Linked DNA regions of Notamacropus eugenii. Each later gene encodes a partner of the first gene's protein in a complex. Links are inferred from orthologs where the notes say so. Each region holds a gene or a part of one and is shown in the gene's direction. Other genes may lie near its edges. The genes, in order: SNRPD1, BUD13, LSM7 and USP39.

Region 1 (7,510 bases):
GAGGTCATATCTGGAAAAGATCTGTGTTCAGTTTGGTGAACCAATGTTGAAAAAGGATGTTGATAATCTAGGGAGTCTGCAGAGGAGAGCCATCAGGATTGTGAAAGACTTTGAGTCCAAATCATTTGAGAATAAGTTGAAGAAACCAATAGAAAGACAGAGGAGCATGGTAGTTGTTTTCAAGTACTCAAAGGACCGTCAAGTGGAGGAAGAGGCCCCAGAGGGCAAAATAAAGAATAGTGGGTAAAGCAAATTCAAGCTTGACTCTGGGGAAAATAGACAAACAAACAACTAGGTATGTCCAGGTGGAGTGGGCTGCTTGAAGTGCTGCCTGACAACCTCCCTTTTTGGAGAGTGTCAGGCAGAGACTAGACTAGATGTCATTATTTGTCAGGTATGATGCAGTCTGGATTTTGTTTGTCCAGATTGAACTGGGTGGCTGTTGAGATTCCTTCCATGTCTCAAATTCTGTCATCCCCTCCAACAGCCCTGATCCATTAGCTCTCCTCTAAGTTCATCCTGTGTGACTCAGGTAGACCAGAGTTCTATTTCTGCCTCAGTCACTTAACGGGCTTATAGAACTCAGCAAATTACTTAATCTCTCAGCCTCAGTTTCCTCATCTGTAAAATGAAGATAGCAGCTACTTCAAAAGACTGTTGTGAGATTCAAGCATTTTGCAAAACTTTAAGTACTATATCAATATTAGTTACTACTATTATGTAAAACTAGAAAATATCAATAAAAATTTAAAAAAGACAAAATGTTGCTTTTAGTGAATGGAGGTTGACCCAGATGTCATAAAATAAATCATTACTTCTAAATTAAAATACATGTTTTGCATATTATAGGGGACATTTTAAAATTTCTTTGGCTAAAATTTCAAACACAGGGTCTACTGCTTTTCAAAAGCCAAGTATTTTGGTTGCTCTAATCTCTGTTTACATAGATAATATAATGGCATATCCAGGTTTTTATCTGTACTTGTTTTATCTTCTCATCACATTACATTTTGGGTTTTATGGAATGATTGTCCATAATTCCAACAGAGGAATATAGGATAAGGTAACCCAACTTATAGTTAATATTTGTCTTTGGGGAACTGGAATTTATTTTCATTATAAAGTAGAAAAATTAAAATTTGGTTTTCCTGTCCTAACTTTTAAAAATACATATTCTATAATCATTCAGAATATTCCATTAATTTTTCCTTGAATGTATTAATTCCCTTGTTTCATGAGTTGTGTTGGTTGGATACCTGTAACAAATTTTTTGGAAGACAAGGTGTTTCACAGATAATACAGAGAAAGACACGGGAGTTTTCGGTCTCTAACAGGTTCACTCTTAATCTGGTCAGACAGGCAGACAACTTTGGAGGGATTAATAATCAGCTTTATTCTAGTCTAGTCTTCTCAAATGATTGTTGGGAGAACCAGCTCCCACAGCATTCCTTAATCACCCTTCTCAAAGGGAGTGGTGGGGGCAACTACCCCTAGTCTCAGCGGGGTCAATTGAGACAGGGATAGCTTGTTCACTCTCTTAAATCCCCTCAAGCCTCAATGGGGGCTGGTTGAGGCAAGTACATGTATTCCTTATGTATGTATGTGGTTTTCCACTCATTGCCCACTGCCCACTTGCTTCATAAAGCACTAGACAAAGAAGGCATCTTTCCAACATTAAGCTCACAGGTTAACTTTAGCAAAACTGTTATTCTGCACAAATGTAGTAAATGTCACATTATGTTACCCCTTATCTCCTGGAGCAGCCTCGGTAGGCCTCTCTGTCACTATGATTCTGAGAATTAATATCCTTGGGGTTATTCTGGGATTTATTTTCTAACACCTGGAAATTAGACATTCCCATGGCCATGGATCCTGAGAAACTAAACTAAAAAAAGATAACAAAATCCTCCTTCCATATACATGGACAAGAGCCACACAGGATAAGCCAAAATGAATGATTTCCATCTCTGTCATTAGGAGGAATACTCTCATCAATAAGGCTTCTATTCATTTGAATTCAATCCATTTTCATAGTATTCTAATGTAAAATGATTATCTTAGTAAGTTCCCAGCATTCTTTTGTACATGGGGTTATATTCCACCCTATTAATTTATTCACTTCCACTATGCAGTGGGACTATATTTAGTCCTGTTATTTTTACATTTCTTACTGCTGATCAGCAAAGCATGTGCTGTACATAATCAAGGTTTTATATGCCTCTTAGATCCTAGGATACAGTTGAAAGGGACCTTAGAGATCATCTAGTCCAAACCCATCATTTTATAGGTTCTGTCCTTTTATGATGCAGACATTTTGGTGACTGAAAGGAGCAGAAAAGGGACAATTGTGTATGAGCACTGATAAAAATCAGCTTGAGAGGAAATGCAGCCCATCAGATAAAAGTACTAGGGGAGAAACAGAGACTTTTCTAAGAGGACCAGATAGAACAGTCTCTCTTATGCTGAAGCTGGGGATGGCTAGAACTCATTGCTATCCATCAGCTTATTTACATATGACAATTTTCAGTATTTTGAAGGAAACAGGTGAGAAGTTATAAGAGCAGCTTGTGAACTCTGGGAAAATCTTCAGTTTGTGCCATATCGATAGAATTGTGGATTTTGTTTTTTTTTTCAACCTGAATCAGAGATGGGGCACTACTCATGAAGAGCGCCTGATTAAAAGTCAGAAGTAACCAGAGAAAAAGCAGGAGAAGGGGACAGAAGACTTAGAAAATGACAAGGGAAGCAGCTCAAAGAAGATATAAGGAAATAACAAGCACTGAAACTAGCTAAAAGACATGCTTTGTAGTTGACGCAGGGAACTATTTGATTGGAAGAGAATGCTATAGCTATTGCAAACTGACTGAAGAAAGGCAGAATCCTCTTATGTAAAGAAGCGTTCTGGGTTTATTGCCTTTTACCAACACTCCTAGCCTGAGAGGGGAAACCTCTCATATTGTTACTGTTCTCTACCGTTTTAGACGGGGAAACCCTAAATCCTACAAGGAGAACAGACCTCATTAGTACAGCTATTTACATACTTAAGGGAACTGTGTTTCAGGAAAGAATGTAATATATGTTGCTAAAAAGAGCATCATACTTTTTCACCATCCTTCCATGAGTGACAACTCACTAAAAGAGCTTCCTTTAAGTCCCAACTAAAAATCCTTCTTTGGGAAGTCTTTCCCAACTCCGCTTAATCCCGATTCCTTCCGCCTTTTACTTATTTTCTATCTACGTAGCTTGTTTGTATATAGTTATGTATCATTTTCCCAAATTAGATTGGGAGTTCCTTGAGAGAATGCCTTTCTTTGCATCCCCCGTGTTTAGCACAGTGTCTAGTGCATAGTAAGAACTTCATATATGCTTGACTCACTAATATGCTGAATTTTTCTTCCTTTTAGCTTTTGCTCCGTTTGCTGTGTCTAGAATGTTCCCTTTCTTTGCTTGCTGAATGCCTGACTATCCTTTAATGGCTTGCTCCAATGCCACTCTTTCCACAGTCTTACCTGATCCTCTTCCCTTCTCACCACATCCCCATTACAACTTTTATCCACCTACTTTAACAACCGCCCCTTCTTTACACCTTGGGGCACTGTTTTGCCACTCTGTGCATTACCTATCCCCCCACTCTCTATGCTTGCCTACATCTTCCCAGGGAACAAATGAAACTTCATTAATTCAGACCCCACTGCAGTAGATTTGTGTAGTTAGACAAAAAGCACCGCTTTCTGGGTAAAACTTCTGAATTAAGTGGCTTATCTTCCCCTGCCCACCCAAGGTGCCACAGTTATAAATGGAGATAGATAGCTTCATTCCCTAAAACACAACCCCATACATTTGCTTTTTTCAAAATTCAGCTCTTCATGAAATCTTTTGATTGATTTCACTTTTGCCTTTATTCCCAGTGCCTAGCAGTAACTGTTACTTAATGAATGCTTGATGGATTTAATTTTAATATATTGCAAACACAGACTTGTTACGAATTACATTTTTTCAATAACTAATATCTACTCTTTTCACTTGTTTCAGTCCTTTTCAGTTATGTCCTAACTCTTGGTGACCCCACTTGGGGTCTTCTTGGCAGAGATCCTGGAGAGGTTTGCCATTTCCTTCTCCAGCTCATTTTACAGATGAGGGAACTGAGGCAGACAGGGTGAAGGGACGTGCCCAGGGTCACTCAGCAAGATGATCCTTCCTGACGTCAGCCCAGCACTATCCACTCTGCTACCACGTACACACATGTAAGTATGGGCACAGATCCATCAGGCACAGTTCGGAAATTCCAATAAATGGGATTCCTTCTTTAAGATCAATTACAGAAAGCACTTGTTTTTGCTCAACTTATCCAAACTTTGGCTTTGTGCATCCCGGGCAAGACGGGAGTATGACCGATAACCTGAGGTTTTTACTAAAGAGGAGAGAGACATTGCTTTCCCCCAAGACCAACAGTGAACATCCCGGCCGAGCTCTTGCGGACATTTGCACCGTCGCCCTCCAGGGGGAGCCGCAGCAACAACATGCTCCTGGAAAGTACCCGCTCCCCCCGCCTCAGAGCCGTCTCGAGTTTTCCTCCAGTCGGGTTTTCTACTTCCGGTTCTCTTGGTGGAAGTGCTTCCGGCCATTCATTCCCTCAGCCCCTGTTAGCGCCCTGGGGTCGTGATTTTGCGACCTGTAAGACCGAAAAGTCGACGGCTCCGTGAAGGATGAAGCTCGTGAGGTGAGGAGACGGCGAGAGCGCCGGCCGCCGCAGTAGGGTCGGGTTTGGAGGTTTGTCGCCAGACGCCGTGCGGCCAGTCAGAATAGGCGCCAAAGTGGCGTGTGCACGCGAGATAGGCCGGGACAACGGCGGCCCTTCCCCGCCCTCGGCCCGCTCTCCCGCCCGCGCGGCGCCTCGCGCTGCGGCTCGTGCCCCGAAAACGACCGCCCTGGGCGGGGCGAGGCTTCCCTCCTCGCGACCGGCGTTGTGCGGCCGTTGTCCGACGGGGACTCGTGGGCCTGGCCGTTAGCTTCTAGGCTCTCGCGAGACGCCGCGGCGCGGGTCCTGGGCCCCGGGCCCCGGGCCCCCGGCCCCCGGCCCCCTGCCCTCGCTTCTGGGGCCCTTTGGTCTGGGCCTTTCTTAACCCTGTTCCAAAACCGTCTGACCGCTTTCACGTGGTGGAACCGTAGGGTTAGAGCTCGAAAGGACTTAAAAGACAGGGGGCCCCCTCGCCTTGCCATTTTACGCTTGAGAAAAGTGAGACCTATGAATGCCAAGTGGCGTCCGGCTCCTCCGGCGCTAGGCCCAGTATTGCGCCTTCCGCTTGGACCCCGGGGGCAGGGCCTGGGAATTCGGGGGCGCGGCAGCGGGCAGGAAGAAGCACCTGAGAAACGGACGGGGGACCCCCTGGGTGGCTTGGCCTTTGTGTTTTCTATCGGCTAAAGCCCGAAAGCCGAGGCGGGGTCTGACTACTAAAAACGTCAGTTCCTTCAACTGGGGCCTTTACGGAACTTTACAAAATGCCTGGGCCCTGCGGTCCATTATTTGGAAACCCATTATACCATTAGATGTCCTCTCCTTCCATCTTTGGCTGTTTCTACCCAATTCAGCATTTCCCACAGCCCACAACTCCTTAGAATCGGATAAACTTAAAGGATTAAACTTTACATCAGATGGTTCCAGTTAAAGTTTGAAGGAGTCATTGAAGCCAGCTTATTACTCTGAGCCAGCCGTAGTATTCGAAGCACACACGGAGAGTCGGGGTGTACCAGGTTTCCAGATCCCAACTCTGCACTGTTGGGAACTATAAAGTGCTACGACAGGTTTTATATTTAGCCAGTTTCTCCTTGTCTTCTAGCATTAGAGCACAGTAATTGCCTCTCAGCTGCATTTAAAATGATTGCTACATTTCCTTAAGATAAAGGTATGATTCAGACTAAAGCACTTAACTCTGAACCCACTCAGATGTAGAGTAGACTAAGGGGAATTTTCTTTCAGCTTTAGAACTCCAATCTTGCTTGCCCCTCGGAAATATAGAGGATGCTTTTGTCTAAGATATCTTTTAAAAGGAAGAAGACAGGGTTCAATTCAGGGAATTGTGCAGTAGGGGAACTTCATTCAAGAGAGTAACTGAATAAAATCAATCTGAAAAAATATCATACAAAAATTTCTATATTTGCCAACCCTGGAAGTGGTATGTATAAGTTCTCTGTGTCTAGAGAAATGGGACTAAGAATCAGAATTTGAAGTTTTGGAATGTAACTTTTGTATAACTACCCAGACTCACTCAGATAACCAGATGTGGCATTTGTAGACCTCTTTTGCAAGATGACTGTGCTTAACATTGCCCTTTCTGCTTACTTCAAGCTTTTCATCAGTCAATAAACAATCATTTATTAAGTGCGTTTTACTAGGCGTACAAGGCAAAAAAAAATCCCAAGCAGACCCTGCCTTCAAGGAGCTTATACTATACTGGTAGAAACCAATATGTATCCAGACAAAAATGATGAAACTGCCCTTGCAGTAAAAGGGACAATGGCACTCTACTTGTATTTAAAGAATTTAGGTGCCAGTTTATTGCACTGCCACCTCTGTCTGCATGCTATTGGCCAACTCACTTAAGCTCTGTGAGCATCCATTCATTCATCTGCAAAACACAGAAGGTGGACTAGATTTCCTTTAATGTTCTTTACAGTTCTAGATGTATAGTTTTTTTAATCAGATATGTGAAATTTAGTGTTACATGGAATATTCAAATGGATCTTTAATTGGGTTAGATGTTCCCTTAGTCTCTGCAGATTACAACCACCATTCCTTGTTGGTACTGTATACCTTTTGTCAATGTCATTCCATAAATTTGACGGTGTCTAACCATTATACTAGAGATCTGTAATGATGGGGTACAGATTCTGGGAACCCCCTTGAATCTTCCCACTTAATCTTTTTTTCATGCCCAAATCTGTTACTCTTAATCTAGCCTAGGTCCTCCATTGTCTGTTGCCTCCCCATTGCCTGCTGTTTCCCACCCTTGATCACATCAAAATCCCACCCTCTTGGTTCTGACCTCTTGTCACCTCAGTCTCAGCAAGATCCTCCTTACATTCTTCCTCACGACCCTCCCTAAACCCCTCCTCCCATCACCCCAGACTACTAGACCACCCCCAGATCCCTTCTACAGTCTTTCTGTAATTAAGATTCTTGTCTCCTTGAAAGTGCTGACATTCATTCTAGCTCAGATTCTGTCTGGCCTGCTTGCGTGTCACAAATCTTGAGGATTCTTAAGAGTCAACCCAACATGGTGAATCTTTAATAAACTTTGTTTTACTTTGGCTGAAAGAAGGCTTAGGTGAAATTCATTCAACCAGGATCTAGGATGTTGGCATTTTGGGGTCCCAAGCACCTCTAACCTTAACATTATGGTTCTTTGACCTCAATATTACTAAATTTCTCCTGACTTAAAAAAGGTGTTGGAACACTTTGAGCGGGGGTGGAGAACTTGTGTCCTCCTGGCTAATTGTGGCCCTCTAGATC
Region 2 (7,882 bases), on another chromosome or scaffold:
TGCTAAGTACTGGGTCCTCTCACCCTTCTTAAGTGTATTTTGGGTCTCTGTTCCTCCTTTTCTACCTGGTAACATGTCACAGACTCACAGATATGTGTTGGAAGAGACCTTACAGTGCTAGTGTAACCATATTGTAATTAGCAAGATTTGTCTGTAACAATGATAAGCTTTTCTTGGAGATGTCAGTAAAGTAGAACCTGGTACTTTAAAAAAATATTTTTTGTTCGTTGTTATTGGCACGATGCTAATCTTTTTATAGAATAACTTGATCTTCACTCTAATATGTAGCCCTCAGGAAATAGGAAACTGCTCCATATAAGAAAGCTACAATGCAGGAATGAGTTGATATTAGGGAGGGGAACTTAACTGCACCTTTTTCTCTGCCAAAGAAATTGTAATAACTAGCAATATGGGCCTAAGAATACCATGACCCAGAAAGGAGAACCTTCCAGGACCTAAAATCACTACAACATACCTGTAGAGTTTTCCTTTTAACTTTAAAAATATGGAGCAGGAAAAAACCAGGAAGAATTTTAGTACCTGCAAGTGGTCTCCATTTATCCACCTTGCACATCAGTATATTATGCAAATCAGCCTTCTGAAAACACTTTACCTCAGAAGAATAATTCTTTGGCTTTTAAGTCTTACATAATTATTGCTTCTACTGTACATCCTGTCACTGGACTTTGGAATTCTATTGCTACCTCTCTGCAATCCAGAACAAGGTTCTCTCCTCATCTTGTGAAACTCCATCATAGGACATAAAACTCATAATCCAAGTTTTTTCTTAGACTAATTTATATATTTTTAATTAGGTGCATCTGTTAACATACCAGAAGAGTTTTTCCTAAGTAACATTATGCAGCAAAAGATCTGATTGGTTAAAAGTAATAAGCATTAACAGGTACACAACAAATCAACCTAGTTAGACTAGGTGTGAGCTTGAAATGATCTACAGGTAACCAACCTTCCTTCATAGCTGCAGTCTCTGCAAGGAGGAATAAAAGATGACATGATGGTTTTAAAAACTTGGTAATTCATCATGTACAAGTTAGATTGTAAACAGTTTTTTGGACACAAGTGGAAAAAAAGTTTTCAGTATGAAATCCACAACAATTTCCATAAATGTATGCTAACATACAGAGGGGCTGATGGGATACATAGCCTGACTGCTGTGTTTTCTTTCTTCCAAGGTTCTTTGCAGTTCTAAGTCTATGAGATCATTATTCTTGGAACCAAATAGTCCAAGTTCTTCTATTTCTTCATATGGCATGATCTTTAAACACTTCACCATTCCAGCTGGCCTTTTTATGCACTTCTCACCAGTTTATCCATGTCCTTCATAAATTGTGTCTAGAACTGAACATTGTATTCCAAAAGTGTTTTGACCAGGTTAGAATAGGGTGGGATGCTCACTTCCCTCGTCCTAAGTGGTATGCTCTTAATGTGCCCTGGACACATTAGCGTTTCACTTGCCATATAATGTTGAATCATATTGAACTAAAAATCTTCAAATTATTTTCAATTCAACTTTTAATTCAGTTGAATTGCCATGCAGATTATCTAACTGAATCCCCTCATTTTACAGACAGGTCCTCCCATAGGAACCAAAAGCCTTTCCTTGAGCCTTTTCATCCATTCAGCTACCCTCCTTTCTCCCTATCACTAATCACATTTGAAATGGGTGCCTCTACTTCATGGCACCATCTGCTTGCTCTTGTACACTTAGTTAATTTGTCTTCTTGCAGCACTATTCTACCGAATAGGTTCTACCTAAGCCTTTTTCTCCTAAAAGTCACTGAAGAGCTCTTTATCAATAAATTCCATGGATTTTTCCATTTCCATAGTTCCATCTCTGGGCAGATACCTCCCAGATTTATTTATATCCACTTTTAGTCTCTAAGCCACTGAGTTTCAGTCCCTGATACCAAAGGCCAGTTAGATATTTCAAACTGGATGTTCCAGAGACTAACATGTCTAAAACTAAACTTGGTTTTTTCATTGCAAACTTTCTCTCTTGCAAACTTGGCTATTTCTGTCAAGGAAACCTCCATTCTTTCAGTGTCTTGGATTGAAATCTTGACATTTGTCCTGAACTTTCTTACATATCACATATCCAATCAGTTGCCAAATCGTGCCATTCTATATTCATATCTTTTCTTTCTGACCTCTCCAGTCACAGAGCTGCCACCTTTGTTCGGGCCTTTATCACCTTGCAGTTAGATTACTGTAACAGCTCCTTATTAATCTCTCTGCTTCAAGTGTCTCCCCACTCCTACATGCTGCTACCAAAATAGTTTTCCTTAAATGTAGATCTGACCATGATTCCCCTACTCAACCAACTTCAATGTCTTCCTAGTGCCTCAAGGATAAAAAGATAAACTCTGTTTAGCTTTCAAAGACCTTCACTTCCTGGCTCTAACCTGTCTTTCCAGCCTACTTAGGCATTTCTCTCCATCCTGCACTTTGTGAAACAGCCAAACTGACCTTCTCTCTGTTCCTGACACATGACACTCTAACTCCGTTTTGCATGCCTTTGTCTTGGTCATCCCAAAGTAGTCTACCTTCCTTTATGATGCTGTTCAGGCACCATCTTCAAATGAAGTATTTCCGCATTCCTCTCATTGCTAGTGCCCTCCTTCCTAAAGTACTTTACATTCCACTATTTTGTATATATTTGTATTTATTTACTATGTATTTTGATATGGAATTGTCTTCTCCATTAGAATCTAAGTTCATTATGAGTAGGATCTGTTTCACTCTTTGTACTTGCATCCCCAGTGCCTAATACAGTAAGGGCTTAATAAATACTTGTGGATTGACCAATTTCTCATTCTCCTTGACCTGTTTGCCACCTTTTATACTGTTGACCAATCACTTCTACTGTATGCTTTATTGGTTTTAGAGCCTACATTTCTAAGCTGTTCTTGGTCTTTTTCATTGGCTACTAACCTCAGGAGCTAGTGTTGGAGCTGAGCTCAAATCCTACTCAAACACTTTATTAGCTGTGTAACCCCAGACAAGTCACTTAATCTCTCAGCTCTTTCCTCTTGACAATGACAGAATGATGACCATAACAGCACCTATCTCCAACTGTGTAAAGATATTTGTAGAGTTTTGTAAACCCTAACATGCTATGTAACACTACTTACGATATTGATGATGATGCCCTTTACCCCTTATTATGGGGGTTCCCCAAGGGTCTCTTCTCATCTTCACATTTTTTCCATTGGCAATCTCATTTACTGCCAGGGCTTCAACCATGTCATAGTCATCATCCCTGCAATTGATTTTAAAAGATTAATTTTGAAAAATTAGGAATTTAAACACCAAATAAAATAGGCTATGCACATAGCAGAATAGAAAAGAGGACTGTAAATGAAACGATCTCTATTATGTAAAATTAAATAATATAATAGATTGAATATGCAATTTCAAAGCTGCCTTGTCTGATTTTTTTCTTGTTTTCCTACTGTTCTCTTCTGTGCATTTAAAAATTCTAGTGACTCTTTTTCTTTTTTGATGGGCTATCTTGTCCCTGGCTCCTCCTCTGCCCTCCCCCAAACTGAAAAAATAAAAAATAAAAAAACAAAGGCTTTGTAACAGATTTGCGCAGCCGGTTTAAAACAAGTTCCCATATTAGTCATATCCAAAAAAGTCTTTTCCTACAACTTGAGTTCATTATCTCAGGAAATGGGCAGTATGCTTTATCACATCAGTCCTCCAAAATTATAGTTGGTCATCGCATTAAATAGCATCCTTACGTCTTTCAAAGTTGCTTTTCTTCACAACATTATGTATATTGTTCCCCAGGTTCCGCTGGCTTTACTGTGCACCACTTCAAGAAGTCTTCTGTTTCTCTGAAACCATCCCTTTTGTCGTTTCTTCTGGCACAATATTCCATTCTGTTTTCATATCATAATTTGTTCAGTCGTTCCTCAATCGGTGGGCAGCCCTGGTGTCCACTTCTTTGCCACAACCAAGAGCTGCTATGAATGTTCTTGTGTATAGAGGAGCTATGTGGAATATGGGCCTAGTAGTGCCAAGGACGCGTGTAGTGTAGTGACTTTGGGGGCATCATCTGGGGACAAACTGCTTTCCAGTAGAGTTTCTGACCAATTCACAGCTCCCCCATGGCACATGGAGGGTGCTGGCTTTCCCACGGCCCTTCCAAAAACTGCCATGGCACTAACTCGATGACTTGTGATGTAGAGGCCTTTCTTGGTCTGATGGTTGCTAGCTTAGATGTGCGCCCACAGGCTTTGCCTGCTTGTCCTCGTTCGTGTAACTGGGTCAGTTCCTTCGACAGGGCACGTACGCTCGATGCCCACCTGGCACCGCAGACTCATCATGTCTGACTCCCGATATGTGCTCTCTGGCTCATGACGGGCAGGGCTACCCACGCCGGGGAAGGAGAGCGGAGGACTCCCGTGCAGGCTGAAGCACACTTTGTTCGTTTCGTTTGTTTATTTTGGGGGCAACATGATGCTGCGTGACTTCACACGTAAGACGGGCAGACGGGGGCAGAGGCGAGAGGGGGGGCAGAATTCGGAACTCCAAAACAAAGCTGTAATAGAGGGAAAGGCGTTACCACGGACCCAGTCCCGCCCACGTGGCGTGGGGCAGCCGTCCTTCTCCCTCCACTGCCCCGGTTTCATTCCCCTACGTCTCTCTTCCCACGGCCCCCCCCCCCCCCCTTGTATTCCTCCCCGCCCCGCTCCCCGCCCCGCTCCCCCAAACCCCGGGCCGCTGCTTTGCTGGGGCCGTTGTGGCCCCGCCCGCTTCCCCGGGCTGAGCAAGAGCAGGAGCGGGGCCACGCCCACAGCCAGGGACCAATCAGATGCTCCCCTCGCTCTGTCTGCGCTGCCCGGGAGTCCTAGCTCCACCCCCTGCAGGCCCGCCGGGAACGTTTGGCGTTGCGGTTAAGTTTGTGTCCCGCGCCGCGCCGTAGCTCGGTTCCGGTTCTCCTCCGCTTCCTCCGCTGCCATGGCGGCTGCCCCGCCGCTCTCCAAGGCTGAGTATCTGAAGCGTTACTTGTCGGGGCCCGAGGCAGCTGCCGATGCGGGGTCGGAGCCTAGTCGTAAGCGCCGCAAGAAACGGCCGAAGCCGACGGGTGCCGGAGGGAAAGGGTGAGCCAAGGGGGAGTGTGTGTGTGAGTGTGTGTGTTTGTGTGTCCGTGTGTGTCCGTGTGTGTGTGTGTCCGTGTGTGTGTGTGTCCGTGTGTGTGTGTCCGCGTGTCCGCGTGTCCGTGTGTCCGCGGGCCGAGCCGCTCAGCCCCGGCCTCCTCCGCCCCAGAGCGCCCGCACTGCCTCCTGGGCGGCACGGGGTGCCCGGCTCCGCGCCCAGCGCCGGGGGGGCCCCAGCCCGAGCCGCCGGGCACAGCCGGGCCGAGCCGGGAGCGCCCTCCTGGAACTCGAGCTCCGAGCTGCCGCGAGGAGACTGGCGAGGCGCGGGCGGAGCGCCGGGGGCACTGCGAGGGGCAGCGCCCGGGTGTCAGGAATACGGAGACAGGAAAGGGGGGCTCGGGTCGTGACTTTCCCGGAGCTTTATGGAGGGCTGGGGTGGGGGCCGCGTGTCAGACGGCGCCCTGCACAGAAAGAAGGTGAAGGCGGGGGTGTCCCCAGGGGAAGCCGGGCAGCCTCGGGGAGATCACTGACAGCCCAAGGGAGGATGGCCGGGAGTGGGAAGGACACGGGGCCTGTCAGCGGTGCCAGAAAGCAGAGAGGTTGTGAAGGTAGAAGGGGCAGCGGGGGGCACAGTGGGTAGAGTGCCAGGCCTCGAGGCAGGAAGACTCACCTTCCTGAATTCAGATCCGGCCCCAGAGTCTTCCTAGCCCAGTGACCCCGGGCAAGTCCCTTAACCCTGTTTGCCTCAGTTTCCTCATCTGTACAATGAGCTGGAGAAGGAACTGGCAAACCTCTCCACTATCTTTGCCAAGAAAACCCCGAATGGGGTCCTGAAGAGTCAGACAAGACTGAAAGGATGGAACTACAGGAGCAGCTGTAAAGGTAGAGACGAGACTTGGTACCGGATTGGATGTGCAGGTGGTGAGAAAGCACTTTGAGCCTGGGTGCCTGGGAGGGTGCTGGTGCTCTCTGTGGAAACTGGAAAGTTAGGCAAGCACCAGTGACCCTAGGCTGTGGCCTTCCTCCTGCCCTGGCTCCTTGGTCCCCCCCATCACAACTGTGCTCTCTCCTGGCGCTGAAGGCTGTGACTGTCTCTTTGTCATTCCTTTCATCTGACTGTCTTTTTCCCATGAGCTTAGGCTCTGGCCTTATGTAGATGGCCCTCTTTCCCACCTTGTCCCCTCTCTTCTCCAAGCCCACAGTTCTCCCTATTTACTCCCCTCTGTACCCTCTTCCTTCCTGACACCCATGTGCCCCATTCAAATCAACCCAGCTTCTGGGCCAGATCAGTTTCCTCTCTGTTGACCATGTTGCCCTCTCTTAGTCACCAAATTCAGTTCCTTGTCTCTCCCTTTGTATCTCCTCAGTGACCTGAGCCCTGGATACACTCCTTTTCTCTCATTCCCTCCCAGACCTTGAGGAGTGAACTGGGAGGATCCAACCTGAAGTTTGGGATGAAATGCTTCAGAAGTTAAAGGGCAGGGGGTGTTTGGGGGGTGGGCCTGGGGAGAAGAGTACCAAGGGGGCCAGTGAAAAACACGGCAGTGGAATTAGGCCCAGAGGTAGGATTTCAGGCTGGGAATCCAAACTTTTGGGCTTTGAAGTAGGAGATAGCCCACTGGTTGTGGTTGGGGATTTGTGTTCCATCCTGTTCCCAGTCTCTTTCAGAGTAACTTTTCAAAGTTAACTTTTCCTAAATTCTTCAGTCTTAGAGATGTTGGCTTTGCAGGAAAAGGGCAAACTAAATGGGGCTTCTCTCTGTCTGCTCATGCCTCTCTCTGACTTATTTCTGAGCAACTGTTTGGGTCTCCTAGAATGTTGTTGGTTCTCATCTTGAAAATAGTTCTTTTTTCTGACTATTTTCTGTAGGATGAGGATTGTGGATGATGATGTGAGCTGGGCAAATATTTCTACTAAGTTAGAAAAAGAAGAAGAGGAAGAGGAGGGAGATTTGCCTGTGGTAAGTTTGGGAGTAATACGCGCTTAGGAACTTGTGTTTGCTTCAAGCAGATTCCTTTCATTTGGTTATAAGATCACAGAATTTAGAGCTTAGAAAGAACTTTGGAGATTGTCTTGTCTAACCTCATTTTATAGACGAGACAATATCGGTTCAGAGAAATTGATCGACTTCCCCAAGGTCAGGCATTAAGTGGACCCCAACTCTTAATGCTATGGGTGAATGGAAAGTGGTGGGAACAGAGAAGCAATGATGCTTTGCTTAAAATTGTAACAAAATGTTAATTAATAGTTGTGCTATACTCATTTCATTAGGAGCATCATCCTCCTAATAGTGAGGAAGCAATCACACAGAGGGAGTGACTTTCCAAGTGTGTGTTTTTGCTCAGCCAAAACTGTATTTAGTTTATGTTTGCAATTCTCCACTGAAAAATGTAAGAAAACATGCATAACAACTCTAAAGAAACTTTTGCTCTCCTCTTACCACTTAATAGCTTGATGCCTCTGTTCATTCATTCATTCATTCATTCATTCATCAAGCAAGTAAACAAGCCGGCAGACATTTATTAAAGGCTCCCTATGTGCCAGGTACCAGGCTAGGTTCTGGGCATACAAAGACAGAAAGGAAACTGTTCCTTCCTGCCTTTAAGGAGCTTAAGTATTGTGATTGGGGGAGAGCATTTTTGGGGGTAACAAGCAACACTAATACAAATAAATAGATACATAGTAAATATAAATAATTTCCATTGGGAATAACATTAACAGTTGAGAGGATCAGCAGAAGCCTCTTCCGGAAGGTG
Region 3 (7,085 bases), about 180 Mb from region 1:
GTGGGATGATTGTTGCCCAGAGGTCAACAAAGGGTTTGACTGTTTTTCACACAGTTCCAAATCTGTTTTCTTGATGAGAGGGACTAATTCGCAGATTCACCAGAGGTACTGTATTAATAATGTATTTGTTTTTCCATAACCCCTTCAGTTACTATTACCATTTTAAAAATGAAATTTGCCAATTTGGTGGGTGAAACCTTATAGCTGTTTTAATTTGCATTTTTTTTTCATATTAAGGATTGAGAGCCACTGTAGGTAGTGGATAAAGAGCTGGGTCTCAGAATTACAAACACCCTTAAGTCCTCCCTTTGTCACACACAGCAGGCAATGAAAGCTTGGCCAAGTCAGTTAGCTTCTTGGTCCTCTAGGTCACTCTCTAAGACTCTTTAAGTCAAACAGAAGTTGTTTGCTTACTTGCATGGCACAGGGTTTCATCCGGGATGTCTCTGGTCCAACCCCCAATTTAGTAATTTAGAGTAGTGCTTCTTTAATTGTGAAAAAATTGGCAACCGTAAAAGATTTCTGAACACATAAGAATCAAAAATAAATTAAAAGATCAAAAATGTAATGACTCCAAGGTGTTTCTGGCTTTGCTTGCCCATGGGTGCATGGTACAACTTCATTGCAGCCTTGGTTCTGAACACGACATACGAACTTTGTACTTCACATGCCTTCAAGCCCACGAAGAGCCAAGAACATTTCGAAAAGTGGTCTGCAGCGGAAAAAGTTTAAGAAGCCCTGATTTAGAGTACCTTATAGTACTTGCATTTCTTTTAAAAAACTGTTTATACCTTTTTACCACTTTATTAGGGAATGGTTTTTGATCACATATATCTTAAAGGTCAGACTTTTATCAGAGATAGTATAAAGATTTTCCCCCAATTGAGTGTCTACAAATAGCTTCATTTTTTACACTGATTTTGCTTGTGCAAAGTTTTTTTAATTTTATGACTCAAAGTGACTATTTTTATCTTTCAAGATCGCCACTATTTCTTGGTTATGTGTTAAGAGTCTTTTCTAACTACAGATTTGAAAGGTATCTCCCCTTTCATTCTCCTCTTTTTAGGTTTTTTTTTCTTAAACAATTTGGAGCTTATTGTGGCATGTAGTATAAGAGGTTGATCTAAATTTAATTTCTGCTGAATTGCTTTCCAATGTTCCCAGCAGGTCTTGTTAAATGTGAGCTCTTTCCTAAAGTGGTTTGTATTTTGGTTAACTGGGCTGTGTTCAACTGCTTCTTGGTCTTAGTTTAATTAAACTATCTAACTAAACTACCAAATGGCTTGTAAGTCTATTGCACTTTACAACGTGGTCTGAGATCTGATTTTCAGTGATGATGTCCTTCACACCACTTCTCTTGCATAACTTGTGATGAATTACACAGTCTCCATCGCTCCTTGCACGATTTCTGACCTCAGTTCTTCAGAGGCTACACACTACTGCATGACTAGCAACATTTTTCATCACTGCAAGAATACTGACATTAAAAACAAAATAGGCCTTCATCCTGGGGGGAGATTGTTAAAAAAAATAACAAAATAAAACAACCTGCACAATCACCCAAAGGCAATGCTGCCTGCTCTATTCCTCCAGTTCAGTTCTTAGCCAGACTCATCTATCTGCAACATCTTATCTCAGATCTGTGTACTCCTTAGAGGTATGCTGGATCCAGATCAAACCTATGCATGAGTTGACGGTTACATTTTCAATATAAGCATTTTTACAGCTCACAAATCAGAAGAGGTTATAAAATCATAATTTGATTTCTTTGTTGATTGTCTAGATTTAAGAAAGTAATGAAAATACTGATAACTAATATTAAACTCAAGTGTGTGTCATGGGTACATTTTTTCTGGAGAGCCAGTTGTTAAACATTTATCAGTACAGCACTATTCATATAGATAAATGAGCTCTAAAGATTGCCCATCCAACTGCAAGTCTATCAGTCTGAAAGATGATCAGAATCATTACTCAGAGACATTTAGTAGCTTTCCCATGGTAGATAATTCAACTAGTAAACCATCAGTCAGGATTGAAACCATGTCTACCAACTCAAAGTCTAGTATTCTCTGCACTAAACCACACTGTCTCAGTAAAAGAAAAAAAGATTTAATGGAATATTGTAGATAAACACAAAATACACATGAGGCTAAAGGTGCAACTTTGCCAAGGTCTTCTGACTTTGGAAAAGTGTGATGTGAGATGATTTACCCATAACCTTTTAGTGAATTTTAGAGAAGAGTATTTCTCACCCTGGTAAAGCAAATCACCAGTACAAAGGCACTCAGTGACCACCACAGTTCCAGAGGGAATTCAAGTCTAGATTACTAGCAGAATCTGGAAGTTGAAACAATAGTTCAGTGAGCAGTGATTCCCAGCCACGGTTTTGTGAAACCATGTCATTCAGGTGTCACCAAAATGTCCACAGGATTATCGATTCATAGGCCATTTAGTTCAATGCCCTCACACTGACAGTTTAAAAAAAGAAAACAACAACAAAAAAAACTGAGGCCAAGAGAAGTGAAATGACTTGCCCAAGGTTCAAACCCCACTATAAATTACATCCTGTTTCTACTGCATATGGTAAATTCTTTCCTCCAAACAAGAGTGAATTTTAACTCACTTTAATTTAGAAGAATGAACCACAAAGGACAGTCAATAACTGGGTGCCAGGCAATCACTGTATAAATCCCCAAAGGACTTATGAGTGGGAAGAGAACATGTCGTTTAACCCCTTAATTTTGCCAGGGGAAAAAAATGGAAGTTTTCCATTCCATAACCATAAAAAGTTAACCTTTCTATAAAACAGGTATATTTGTATGATATCCCTCACAGAGCAAATTAGATAACAAAGTACTTTATAAACTGCATAAATCATAAAACCTTTAAGTATAAATAAGCGTATTATTAACATGTGGGTATTACTGATTCAGGGAGCTTCAGCCTAGCAGGGCTCTGGGGTGGGATTATGAGCTTTTGGAAAGAGGTCTAAACGTAGGGACAACATTACTGGACTTGGAGGACAGGAGACTTACCTTCACATGCTGGCCCTGACGTACTGTGTGCCTTTAAGGGAGTCATTTACGTGAGTCAGTGTCTCGCTTCAGATCGCTCTGGGATGCAGCAGGGACTTATTTAATAGATGCTTACTGACGGTGCCTGACCCTAAGTCTGCTTTTCACTTGTAAAAGGGGAAGGACAGAAGTGTGACCCCTGACCAGGATACTACAGTGTGCAAGGTGTAAAGTTCAAATACCACACGATAAACACGGCGCAGTGAGGAGGATAACACAGCACTTCAACGGAGAGGCCCAAAGTGCTGAGAGGTCCAGGGGTGAATTTGGGAGGGACGAGTTTGTTAGTTTTATGTAAAATTAATTTGGGTTTAGCTGAGGGACACAGAGTGTCCCACAAGTCTTACTGGGCTAAGTGTGCTTCACGTTTATAAGAAGCGATGAGTTTAAAAAGATGGGTAGGGACTCAAGGAACGACCAAGAGGGAGGAAGGAGCAAGGCATGCTGGGAAGCGGACCTGTTGGCCGGCGCTGACTCAGTTTCCTCATCTGTGAGAAAAAAGTGAGTAAAAGACACCAGCCGGAAAGAGGGGCTCGGAGGACCCGCCGCTCCTAAAGCTTATGGGAGGTCTGGGGCTCAAGTTCCTCCAGGGTAAGACGAGGCGGCCTCGCGGGGCAAAGGAGGATGGGGTTCGCCGGCCTAACCTGGGGGAGTTAGAGACGTGGGGCATACCGGGCCGCGGTGCAGCGAGGCCGGGCTAGGGCCTACTAGGCGGCCCGGGCCGCTGAGGGGAGCCGGAGGAAGAAGGAGCCAGGCCTCCCCCTCCCCCTCACCTGCGCTATGAGGAGAAGTCCCGGCAGCAGCCGCACCAGTACCGCCATGTTCGCCCGAGATCCCCAGGGCCCCACGGCTCCGGCCTCCCTTCCCCGCAGCCTCAGCTGCCGGACGTTACCCAGCAAGCCCTGGGCCCCGCTTCTTAGCCCCCTCGTGCCTCAGCGCCGCTCCGCGGCCGCGTGCGCCTGCGCACGCGCGTCACACTTCCGCAGGGCCCGGGTGCAGGGTGAAAGGCCGGGGCGCGACTCACGAGGCGGATTGTGACGAAAGCAAGATGGCGGCGAGCCGACGACGCTGCCGCGGCCGCCGCCACAGCGCTGCCAGGCGTTACCCAGCAACCTCCGGGCTCCGCCTCCAACCCTAGGCTCCTGCCCCATCTGCGCAAGCGCGTCCCTGACGTTAACGCCGAAGCTTGCGCCAAGAGGTGAAAGGGCGCAGGCGCCGGACGCAAAGGGGACCCTGACGGCTGCAACATGGCGGTGAGCCGAGGGGGGGATACGCTGCAGCCGCTGCCGCCGCTGGGGCGGGAGGGGGACGGACTGACGGACCCGGCGCTCGGAGGCCCGGGCCCCTGATCCGCTGTGCTTTCTCTGCAGGACAAGGAGAAGAAGAAGAAGGAGAGCATCTTGGACCTCTCCAAGTACATCGACAAGACCATCCGCGTGAAGTTCCAGGGAGGCCGAGAGGGTAAGAAGGACCCCGCCCCCCCGTCGTTCCCGTCACATGGTCTGACCCAGGGTCTCCGTCCTCCCCTCACACCCCCCCCCCCCCGCCTGCCTCGGCAGGTGGTACATTCCGGTGGGACCTCCCTGGCTTCTGGAGCGCTCTCCATTCATTTCTCTCCGGGGCTCTGGTAGGTCCGCGCCTTCTGGGTCCCTGCCCCCAGGGAGCGTGCTCATCGTCTGGGCGGGCCAAGAGCCTGGAAGGCAGAGTCAATCCAGGGCACAGGTGCCAACTGTGTACCGGGTAGAGAGGCCGCCCTCGGCCTAGGAGTCAGGAAGGCCTGCTAGACACTTGCAGACAGGTCACTACCTTTCGGTGCTCGTCAGCTTTCTGAGACTAGGAGTTGTTGATCTGCATTCTGGAAGTCAGTCGGACAACGAGCACTTATTAAGCACCTACGGTATGCTGTGCGCTAGGTCGTGCGGTAGGTAGGTAGAGCAGTGGACCCCGAAGTCTGGAAGATGGGACTCCGAGCGCAGATACTTAGCAGCAGGGCCACTGAGCAAATCCGCCTTTTCTGCTGTAAAACGGAGATTCAGGGAGATACTTGTGCTGTACAGATACTGTCATCGGTAAGTCAGGCCCTGAGCTGACAAAAGCAAAGAAGCCTCTGCTCTCAGGTGTCTCACCGTCCAGTGGGGGAGATAATGTGAAAAGAACCGGGCAGACAGACTTTGTCCAGGATACACTGGAGATTTTCAGTAGAGGGAAGGCATTAACATAAGGGGAGATCAGGAAAGGCCTCCTGGAAAATGAGATTTTTGCTGACATTCCGTCCTGGTGTTGGTGAGATCACAGATCCACACTCTATCTGGGAGAGTGCCAGCTCAGTGACCCAGAGAGAATCCTAATTTCCAGCCTTGATACAGACTGGCTTTTTGACCATGCAGGAGTAAATCACTTAACTTCTGTACCCCAGGTCACTTTCCAAGTTGGGTGACTAGTAGTTTGGTGAAGCCTACAGATTCCTCAGAATAATATTTTATTTTATTTTTTTATTAAATTATTTTGTTTTCAGTGTTCTACAATCACTTCCATATAGCTTAGATTTTTTTTCCCCTTCCTCTGGCTCTTTCCCTCTTCCTTCCTGCTCCTTCCCCCCTCCCTCCCCACTTCTCCCTGAGACAGCAGACACTCTTATATAGGTTCTACACATACATTCCTATTAAATACATTTTCACCTTAGTCATGTTGCATAGGAGAATTAAAATGAATGGGAGAAACCATAAAACAAAACATAATACAAAAGAAAATGGTCTGCTTCAATCAGAATCATATTTTTAAATGCACAAAATTAAACAACATGGGATTATAAAGGGAACCAATTCCATTGAAACAAATTATCAAAGAATTTCTTTTTTTAAAGTTCACAGACCATAGGTGAAGAACCTCTTCTGTAAGTTATTATAGGTGAGTTGTTGTCAGTTAATAGCAAGGGAGGCAGTTTCCATGTGGAAAAGAATGTGCAAAGTCAGTGTTGTGCCCCAGGAATAGAAATATAAAAAAATAGCATGATACTCAACAAACATTGATGAGGCACCTGCTGTGTGCGTGCGTGCGTGCTTGTGTGTGTGTACACCTTTGCACAAATTTACACAGACTCTCTCTTTATGGAGCTCCCCCCCACATAGAGGGAAGAGACATAAGTGTAAGTCATGACAGTCATGGAGCATACCTTGACTACCTGCTGCTCGACCTGCAATATTTAGATAAGACACATAATCATAATAGGTAATTGTCATTCAATAAACATTAACAAACAATTAATAATAAATAATTTAATTTAAAAAATAAATAATAATAAACAATAAACACACAGTAGGTATGTTTAGTAGTCTCTGTAGTTCTGTAGCAGTGGCAGGGCAGGGTTTGCAGTTTGTAATGCAAGCATAAATAATGTCCAATATCTTGTAATAGATAGTCCTTCAATAAACCTTGATTTAAGGGTGTCCTGTAATCTTCCCTGATACTCCAGCACTATGTGTGGATCCCTGTCTTTCGGGGTGCTGGGGTAGATAATGTGTCTGAGTTAAGATTGGGTCCTTTTCCCCTAAGGAATACTCAGTAGGATCCTAGATAGAGACCTCCTGGAAAGAACCTAGGAGGTCATCTCTCTTCATTTCACTGATGAAGAGATCAGAGACCCAGAGAGAGTCTATGACTCAAAGTTACTCAGGTTGTTAGTAGCAAAATTGGAGCTGGACTCTGGTCTTCTGGCTCCAGACCCCACGTCCCTCCCACCACACCAAGGCTTGAAAATATAAACAGTAAAACAAATCCCTAAGTCTATGAGCAAGATAAAAGAGGGTGTTGGCTTCATGGATGTGAAGCTGGCCTCGGAACTGGGATGACCTAGGCTCAATACCAGCCTCTGTGACCAGGGCAAATCGTTTAACTTCTCAGTGCCCCTAACCTGCATCAGGAGTTCCCTAGAACAATGAAATTACAAGTCAGGTATAAAACAAAGCATGTCCTGTTAGACTGTGTTTTGGAATGCGTGTTTTTGAGAGTTTT
Region 4 (7,159 bases), on another chromosome or scaffold:
ATATTCTCTCACCTTGCAAAAGCCCTGTTCCATACTTATGATATCCTCTTTTGACAGATGAAGAAACTAAGGCCCAGAGGTATTGATATAGTCAATAATTGTTAGAGCAAATGCCAGGCTTTGATTTAAAACCAGGTCCTGGCTTATGGTTGAGAAAATAGTTTCTTCACCGGTCAATAAGGAAGCTGCCTGGTAGGGAAGAATGCACCGGTTTTGAGGTCAGAGGTCTTGGGTTCAAATCATGCTCATGAGTTGTGTGGCCTTGGACAAGTCACCCTTCTTTGGCCTGCTTTCTTATTTATATGTAAAATAAGCAGGCTTTCTAGTAGATCTGAGGTCTTTTCCATTTCTAGATCTAGGATCCTATTAAATTATGGTAATAATAATAAACATTAATAGCCCTTTTGAAGTGCACCATTATCTCATTTTATCCTCACAACAACTCTGGGAGGTAAGAGCTGTTTTTATCCCATTTTACAGATGAGCAAACTAAGGCTAAGTGACTTGCTCAGGGTCACACACCTGGTAAGTGTGGAAGGCAGGATTCAAATTCCAGTCTTCCTGCCTCAGAAATCCGATGGTCTCATCCCATCATTTTACAGATGAAGAAACTGAGACCCGAAGACATTCAGTAACCTATTCAATCAAGGTCATGGAACTAGTAAATGACAGACAGAATTGGAAGCCAGGTCTTCCTGATGCCAGGTCCAATTTCCCAGCTTCTCACTCCCCAGTTGTGAAACCCTGTGAATAACTGAACCTTTTGCACCATCTGGAAAAGGAGGGGGCTGAACGTCATGGCGTCTTCCACATGTGGTGCTCAGGGCTCCCACTACCTACAGCAATTCCCCCTCCCTCTTTTTTGTAGGGTCACCCAGTTATTAAGTGACACCAGCAAGCCCTGGAGCCCAGGTCTTCCTGACTGTAGCCCAATGTTCTATCGGCTTCGAGGCCCCCAAAGATGCCAGGACCTGCCCAGCCACACACAGCTAGTTAGAGGCTCCTGGGGCGTAGACCCCTCTCGCTAACTCTCTCACCCCGGCTCCCAGTGGAGGACCCAGGCCGGCTCAGCCTTGCCTCGCCTCGCCGTCTGGGTAAGTACACCTGCTGGTCTGGCTTTCGGGGCCTCGTAGGGCCCGGGGTGAGTCGCCTCCGAACCTTCTCCTTGGCTGCCTGCTTCATCTTCTTGTCGTAATTATCTCTGCGGGTGGGACGGAGAGGGATTATGGGGAGAGGTCAGGGATCAGAGCGACCCCAATGAAGGAGGCCTCTGGGGAGGGGGTGGGGGGTTAGGGGTTAGGAGAAGGAGAGGCAGAGACTAGAGGGCTGGATCTAGGAGTAGGGGATGGGGAAGGGGCCTGAGGGCAGAGACTAGGAAGGGGTGCGGGGTTCCAGGGGAGAAGGCGAGGGACAAGGGACAGGAACCCAGGGGCTGGAAACCTGGAAGGGACCGGGGGAGAGGGGTCTAGAGTAGGACAGAAGGCAGGGACCTAGGCTTTTAAAGGTTTGGGGCAGAGGGAGGGGGTGGGGGAGGGACCAGGGGGCTTAAGTGGGGGGAACAGGGTTAGGGACCCGGAGGTAGCTGGAAGGTGGGTAGGGGGCAGGAGGAACTGGGTCAGGAGGACAGAGGGCGGGGACCCCGGTGGAGGGGGCGGGGAACGGGCCAAAAGGCTCAGACTAGTTCAGAAGGCAGGGGCCCTGGGTACAGGGGCTGGGGGGGAGGGAGGATCTGGGGCTGGGAACCGGGGGCAGCGAAGGGCGGGTGGGGGCGCGGGGAGAGCCCGAGGCAGGGTCCGGGCCCTGGCCGGGCCGCACCGGGCGATCTGGTTCCGCCGGATGTGGTGCACAAAGCCGTGGCTCATGTCCAGTCGCCCCCCCGGTTTGCAGCAGCAGCGCCGGCCCGGACCCGGCTCCGCTTCCATTGGGGCGCTCCGGGAGCTCCGGGGGGGGGAAAAAGCCAACGCCGCCCCCGCCGCCAGAGCAACCGTCACTCGCGGAGGCCTTCCCCTCCCCCGGCCCCCTGCCCGCCCGCCAGCTCCCCGACTGGCCCCGCCCCTCTCCGTCCCCATTGGCCGCTTTTCTCCCCACCTCCCCCGCGGTCCCAGGGCTGGCCCCGCCCCCGTGCGAGGCGGGGGCTAGTGCTCTCTTCCTTCGCCAGTCTCTTCTGTTTACTTTGTGTACACTTTGTAAATACTTTGTATTTACCCGCCTCTGTGTGCGTCCCTATTCTCCCCACCTAGTATAAAGGATTGAGGGAATGAAGGAATGTTATTCAGCACTTTCCACTGTGCGAAGCGAGGGAACTGCAGATGGAAGACAGACAGTTTCTGATCGCTAGCAAATCCAAGGAGTCCATCAACGAGAATTCTTCAAGTGCTCTGGGTTTGCCAGACACTCCATTAAAAGTTTGAGATAAGAAAGGCAATAAACGTCCCCTGCCCTCAAGGAGCTCTTGAGGGAGAGACAACGGGCAAACAACTATGTATGTAAGTACAGGATCTTAGGGGTCAGGCAGCTGCAGTATTGCTGACAAGGCCCAATAGAACTGTAAGTTTCTTGAGTCAGATATTGCCCTCTTCCCCCATCACCAGGGTATCCCGAGCTCCTTAACTTGACCTTTGCCCCAACCCCACTTCTGTCCTCAGCACAGACTCCTCTTTGCCAGTCTAGGGCTTGGAGATGGAAGAGAGACAGAATCTCAACATCCATTCTAACTCCCTCAATTCAATTTACCTTAACAAGGCACAACTTAAGAGACAGACACAAAGAAAACAGGCCTGCTTTCAAGGACCTTACCCACTCATTTTATAGGTGAGGAAATTAAGGCCCAGTCAATCAATTAATCAACAAACATCATCCAGTGCCTACTATATGCCAGATCATGCATGTCACCCCTATCCCCTCTCACTAAACTCCAGCAGCTTCCTATTTGCCTCCAGGAGAAAAAATGGTCTATTTGGCATTCACCTCCCCAACATCTACTCTTCCATACAGTGATGATGCCTTTCAGGCTGTTCTATGAACAATCCTCCATCTCAGTTTCCACCATTTGCTCTGACTCTCCCTTATGTATGAAAAACTTTTCCTTTCTCTGCTCTAACCTTCCTGACTTCCTTTAAGTCTCCACTAAAATCTTACATTCTACAGGAAGCTTTTCTTGACTCTTCTTGATTCCAGAGTTTTCCCTCTGTTAATTATTTCCCATTTATCATGTGTATAGCTTGCTTTGTATATATTTTTATGTTGTCTGCTTCAGTAAAAAGCTTGAGGGGAGGGGCTGTCTTTTGTCTCTTTTTATATCCCTAGTGCTTACTTAGCACAGTGCCTGGCACTTAGTAGGCATTTAAGAAATGTTCTTTGAATTGAATCAAATAATTCCTTTGGGGACTACCCAGCTTTGAAATAACTTACTGTCTAAGAGTTGGGAGTGATTTTTTCAACCCAACAAAAGTTATTTCCTATGAGTCCTCATCTCCTTTTATACAATGGTCCAAAGACCCTATGATCTTTTTTAATTGATTAAGGACTATTCATATGGGGACAGTGGATAGAGTACCCAGCCTGAAGTCAGGAAGACTCATCTTCCTGAGTTCAAATCTGGCCTCAAACGCTTACTAGCTGTGTAACCTTTGGTAAATCACTTTATCCTGTTTACCTCAGTTTCCTCATTTGTTAAATGAGCTGGAGAAGGAAATGACAGACTATTCCAGTGTCTTTGCTAAGAAAACTCCAAATGGGGTCACAAAGAGTTAGACATGACTGAAAGATGACTGAACAACCAAAATTCCTATATCTTTTACTTTTGATACGATGAAGCCTTCAGACTGTCCTGTGACTAATTTTGGTGGGGTAGGCTGGACTCCTACCCATATATATTGATCATAGCTCTAGAGATGGAAAAGACCTTGGACCTCTAGTCCAATTTTCCACATGGATAAACTGAGGCCCAGAGAAATGTGAGTGACTTGCTCCTGGTCACACAAACAGTAAATGTCAGAACCAGGATTTTAGTTAAGGGCCAAAGACTCCAAGGTCAAGGCCCAAGTCAATCACAAAGAACTGGATTGTTGTAGACACTCATTCTTTTGGTGGGAACTATGATTTCACTGGTGTAGGGAACTAACTTCTTGACAATCAGTCTTTTTTTTTTTTTTTTTTGGTTTCTGTTTTCATGTCATATGCTTAATTTTCTCATTTTCCAAATGAATACCTTTATTTGTCAATCAGTCTGTTGACTTTTTTTTCCCATACTTAAAGTACTATTTGTCATACGGGATGGCTCTCAGGGAGGGGAGGGGCTGTTAAAATAGTGATGTTAGAAAGAGAAAACATAAATCAAAATTATTTTTAAAAAATTGGGCAATGGGATGTTTTCGCTGCCTCCATCGCAGCCTTTGAGGGACAGGACAGCATCATTCCATTATGCCTCATCAACCTAAGTAAAAATTTCTCCAGTCCTATGATGTTACCCCAGCATCTTGGGCCACTTAAGGGCTATCTGGCCCTTTAAATAAGAAACTGTGGATGATGAAGATGATTGGCCCATTCAGCGTCCGGAGCGGTGGGGCGGGAACCAATGAGAGCATCCAAGAGTCACACACGGAAGCCTGGGAAGCAGGTTTGTAGATGCGGGCCACAGCGCTAGAACCCTCGAACAGACGTTGCAGCGGATTGGCCAGAAGCGCTGCGGCTGATTGGCCAGCTGTGCTGCGCAGGCGCGGCACCGCGAGTGAGACCTCTGCGCCTGCGCGGAGAGGCGGCGGGGGCCGGTGGCCGGAGGGGATGTCTAGCCGTTCGAAAAGGGAGACGCGGAGCTCCGCCCGGGGCAAGCGGGATGCGGAGTCCCGGAGCAGCTCCAGTCGGTCGAAACGGGAGAGGGAGCGGGATTCGGACGGCATGGGGTCTCGGGGGAGCCCGGTGCGCGTGAAACGGGAACGGAACTCGGAGCCCGCGGCGCGAGACTCCTCGGGCGGGAGCGTGCCCGCGCTCGTGCCCGCGCCGCCGCTAGTGGGTTCGCGCGTAAAGCGGGAGCGCGAGGCCGACGAGGACTCGGAGCCGGAGCGGGAGGTGCGAGGTGCGCGGGGCCGGGACCGGGGCGTCCCCCATCCCCATCTCCATCCCCATCTCCATCCCCATCTTGCCAGCCCGGAGCTGGAAAGAGCCTCTGAGGACGGCCATCCTTTCCCCTTTTTTGTCCAGATGGGGAAACTGAGGGCCAGCAAGTGCTTGCTCCCTGCCCGGTTCTCGGGGTGGGGAAACTGCCCTGCCCGGCTACGTCATTACCCGCTAACCACGTGCAATTTAAATCCAGAGGGATGTCAGGGAGGAGAGGAAGGTCCTGGTCAGGTGGCGCAGTCCAAAGGGGCCTCGGATAGTGTCCGCTTGAACGGAACCTTGACCAAAGTTGGGGTGACATCCTGCCCGTCTCAGCGCCGGGGCTTGGGTGCAGCCCACCCTAAGCCTTCCCTGTGTTCTCTGCCTTCAGCCACATATTCCCTCCAGGGTTCTGGCCCCCGTGCCTTCCTGTCTTTGCTAGTGATCGATTTTCGACAGTTTTACTTTTTCCTTACTTGTTTGTGTACATGGGAGAGGAGGAACGCTAGACTTGAAGTCGGGAAGCTCAGGTCCCTCTGATCCTGGCCCTGGGGGACTGTGGGCTAGTCTCTTAATGTAGGCTCTCTTAGAGAACGTATATTAGAGCTAGATGGATGTTGGGAATTTCGACGCCAAAAAAAGTTGTGTCCTGCAGCAAAATGTAAGCTCCCTCTGAGGATAAGGGACTCTTCTATTTTTGTGTGCTCAGCGTTGAATACATTGCATTGTAACTAAAGGCGTGTTAAAAAAAATTACCTTTTCTTTTGTCCTTAAAAACCATCATAGATCATAGGTCAAGCGGGGATCTCAGAGGCCTGTCCAGTTTACTCTCATTTATAGAAGGGGAAACTGAGGATCAGGGAGGTTGAGTGACTTGGAATATGATATACAGGTAGTAAACCTCATAGATAGGACTTGACTCCAGATCTTCTGATTCCAGAACCAGAGTTCTCTCCACTTTTATAGCATTATCTAATGTGATCTTTTTTTACTTTTCACTCTTAGTATTATTATCGTCACTTTAATTCAGCTCAAGCAACAAACATTTATTAAACACTTACTATGTGCCAGGCACAGTATTGTGTTCTGGGGGTCAATGACAGAAATAAAAGTCCTTGCTTTCAGGTAGCGTATATTCTTTTGAGGAGATTTAACATATAAGGAAAAAAAGTGTGTGTAAATCATTTAAAGGTTTGCAGAAAGTAGTGTACAAACGTTAATTTGTTTGACACAACAGTCCCATGACGAAACAATCAGGTGCTATTATTTCATTTTACAGATGAGGAAACTGAGGCTGAGAGGTTAAATGACCTGCCCAGGGTCACTGTTAGGGTCTGAATTAGGATTTGAACTTGGCTCCCAGGCTTGACAGGTCCCTCGTGCCACCTCGCTTCCTAGATTAGATACTCTTAAGGGTGGGGATGGATGAAGAGTACATCTATATAAGAAAGGGTGTGACGAGGGCCAAGGAAGCATTTAGATAGAATGCTATAAGAAATTTGTGGAGAGAAGACCTTCTAGTTGGGAGGATAGGGAAGTCTGTAATAAACAGAGGCCACCAGAGCTGGGCTCGTAAGAACATTTTTTCAACAGGAGAAGGTAATATGTTCTAGTTCGGATGGATCGTAAAGGAAGTAGAATGAAATAAAATTGATCAGGTTAAAGTAAGTTGGAGTAAGATTCTGGACAGCCTTATATTAGAAGCTAAGAATTGGATTTTATCCAATAGGCCCTGAGGAACCAGTAAAAAATTTTGATGGAGGCAGCATATTGTAGCTGGGGCACTGGATTTAGAGTCAGAGAGATCTGAATTCAGATCCTGGTGCAGACATACGAGCTATGTGACCCAGCACAAGTCACTGATGCACTTTGAGGCTTCACTTTCCTTATCTGTAAGATGAAGGGATTGGACCTAATTGCTTCCAAGGGTCCTTCCAGTTCTTACTGTGCCCTGTGGGTGACTTGTGCAGGAGGAAGATGGTTTAGCAGTTCTGTGGAGGATGGATGGTAGAGGTCAGAGGCCTGTGCCCTGGCCCAGTTCAAATGCCATTAGATGATGGTGAGA

Evidence for each region.
Region 2: SNRPD1 (region 1) and BUD13 share a complex: the UniProt entries of both Homo sapiens proteins name them as parts of the minor spliceosome. The link is inferred for Notamacropus eugenii from reciprocal best matches to the Homo sapiens genes SNRPD1 and BUD13.
Region 3: SNRPD1 (region 1) and LSM7 share a complex: the UniProt entries of both Homo sapiens proteins name them as parts of the U4/U6-U5 tri-snRNP complex. The link is inferred for Notamacropus eugenii from reciprocal best matches to the Homo sapiens genes SNRPD1 and LSM7.
Region 4: SNRPD1 (region 1) and USP39 share a complex: the UniProt entries of both Homo sapiens proteins name them as parts of the U4/U6-U5 tri-snRNP complex. The link is inferred for Notamacropus eugenii from reciprocal best matches to the Homo sapiens genes SNRPD1 and USP39.

What each region holds. Positions count from the first base shown.
Region 1 is NC_092875.1:245,365,417-245,372,926, forward strand, and holds the start of SNRPD1 (small nuclear ribonucleoprotein Sm D1), read left to right. Parts: upstream 1-4,509; 5' UTR 4,510-4,706; coding exon 4,707-4,720; intron 4,721-4,925; exon of another isoform or gene 4,926-5,903; intron 5,904-7,510. UniProt on the Homo sapiens protein: Plays a role in pre-mRNA splicing as a core component of the spliceosomal U1, U2, U4 and U5 small nuclear ribonucleoproteins (snRNPs), the building blocks of the spliceosome.
Region 2 is NC_092876.1:135,379,183-135,387,064, forward strand, and holds the start of BUD13 (BUD13 homolog), read left to right. Parts: upstream 1-4,874; 5' UTR 4,875-4,986; coding exon 4,987-5,129; intron 5,130-6,995; coding exon 6,996-7,086; intron 7,087-7,882. UniProt on the Homo sapiens protein: Involved in pre-mRNA splicing as component of the activated spliceosome. As a component of the minor spliceosome, involved in the splicing of U12-type introns in pre-mRNAs.
Region 3 is NC_092875.1:63,776,686-63,783,770, forward strand, and holds the start of LSM7 (U6 snRNA-associated Sm-like protein LSm7), read left to right. Parts: upstream 1-4,073; 5' UTR 4,074-4,321; coding exon 4,322-4,327; intron 4,328-4,444; coding exon 4,445-4,535; intron 4,536-7,085. Other genes in the region: SPPL2B (signal peptide peptidase-like 2B), read right to left, coding at 3,848-3,895. UniProt on the Homo sapiens protein: Plays a role in pre-mRNA splicing as component of the U4/U6-U5 tri-snRNP complex that is involved in spliceosome assembly, and as component of the precatalytic spliceosome (spliceosome B complex).
Region 4 is NC_092872.1:726,461,830-726,468,988, reverse strand, and holds the start of USP39 (ubiquitin carboxyl-terminal hydrolase 39), read left to right. Parts: upstream 1-4,144; 5' UTR 4,145-4,626; coding exon 4,627-5,074; intron 5,075-7,159. Other genes in the region: C1H2orf68 (UPF0561 protein C2orf68 homolog), read right to left, coding at 1,038-1,201, 1,816-1,922.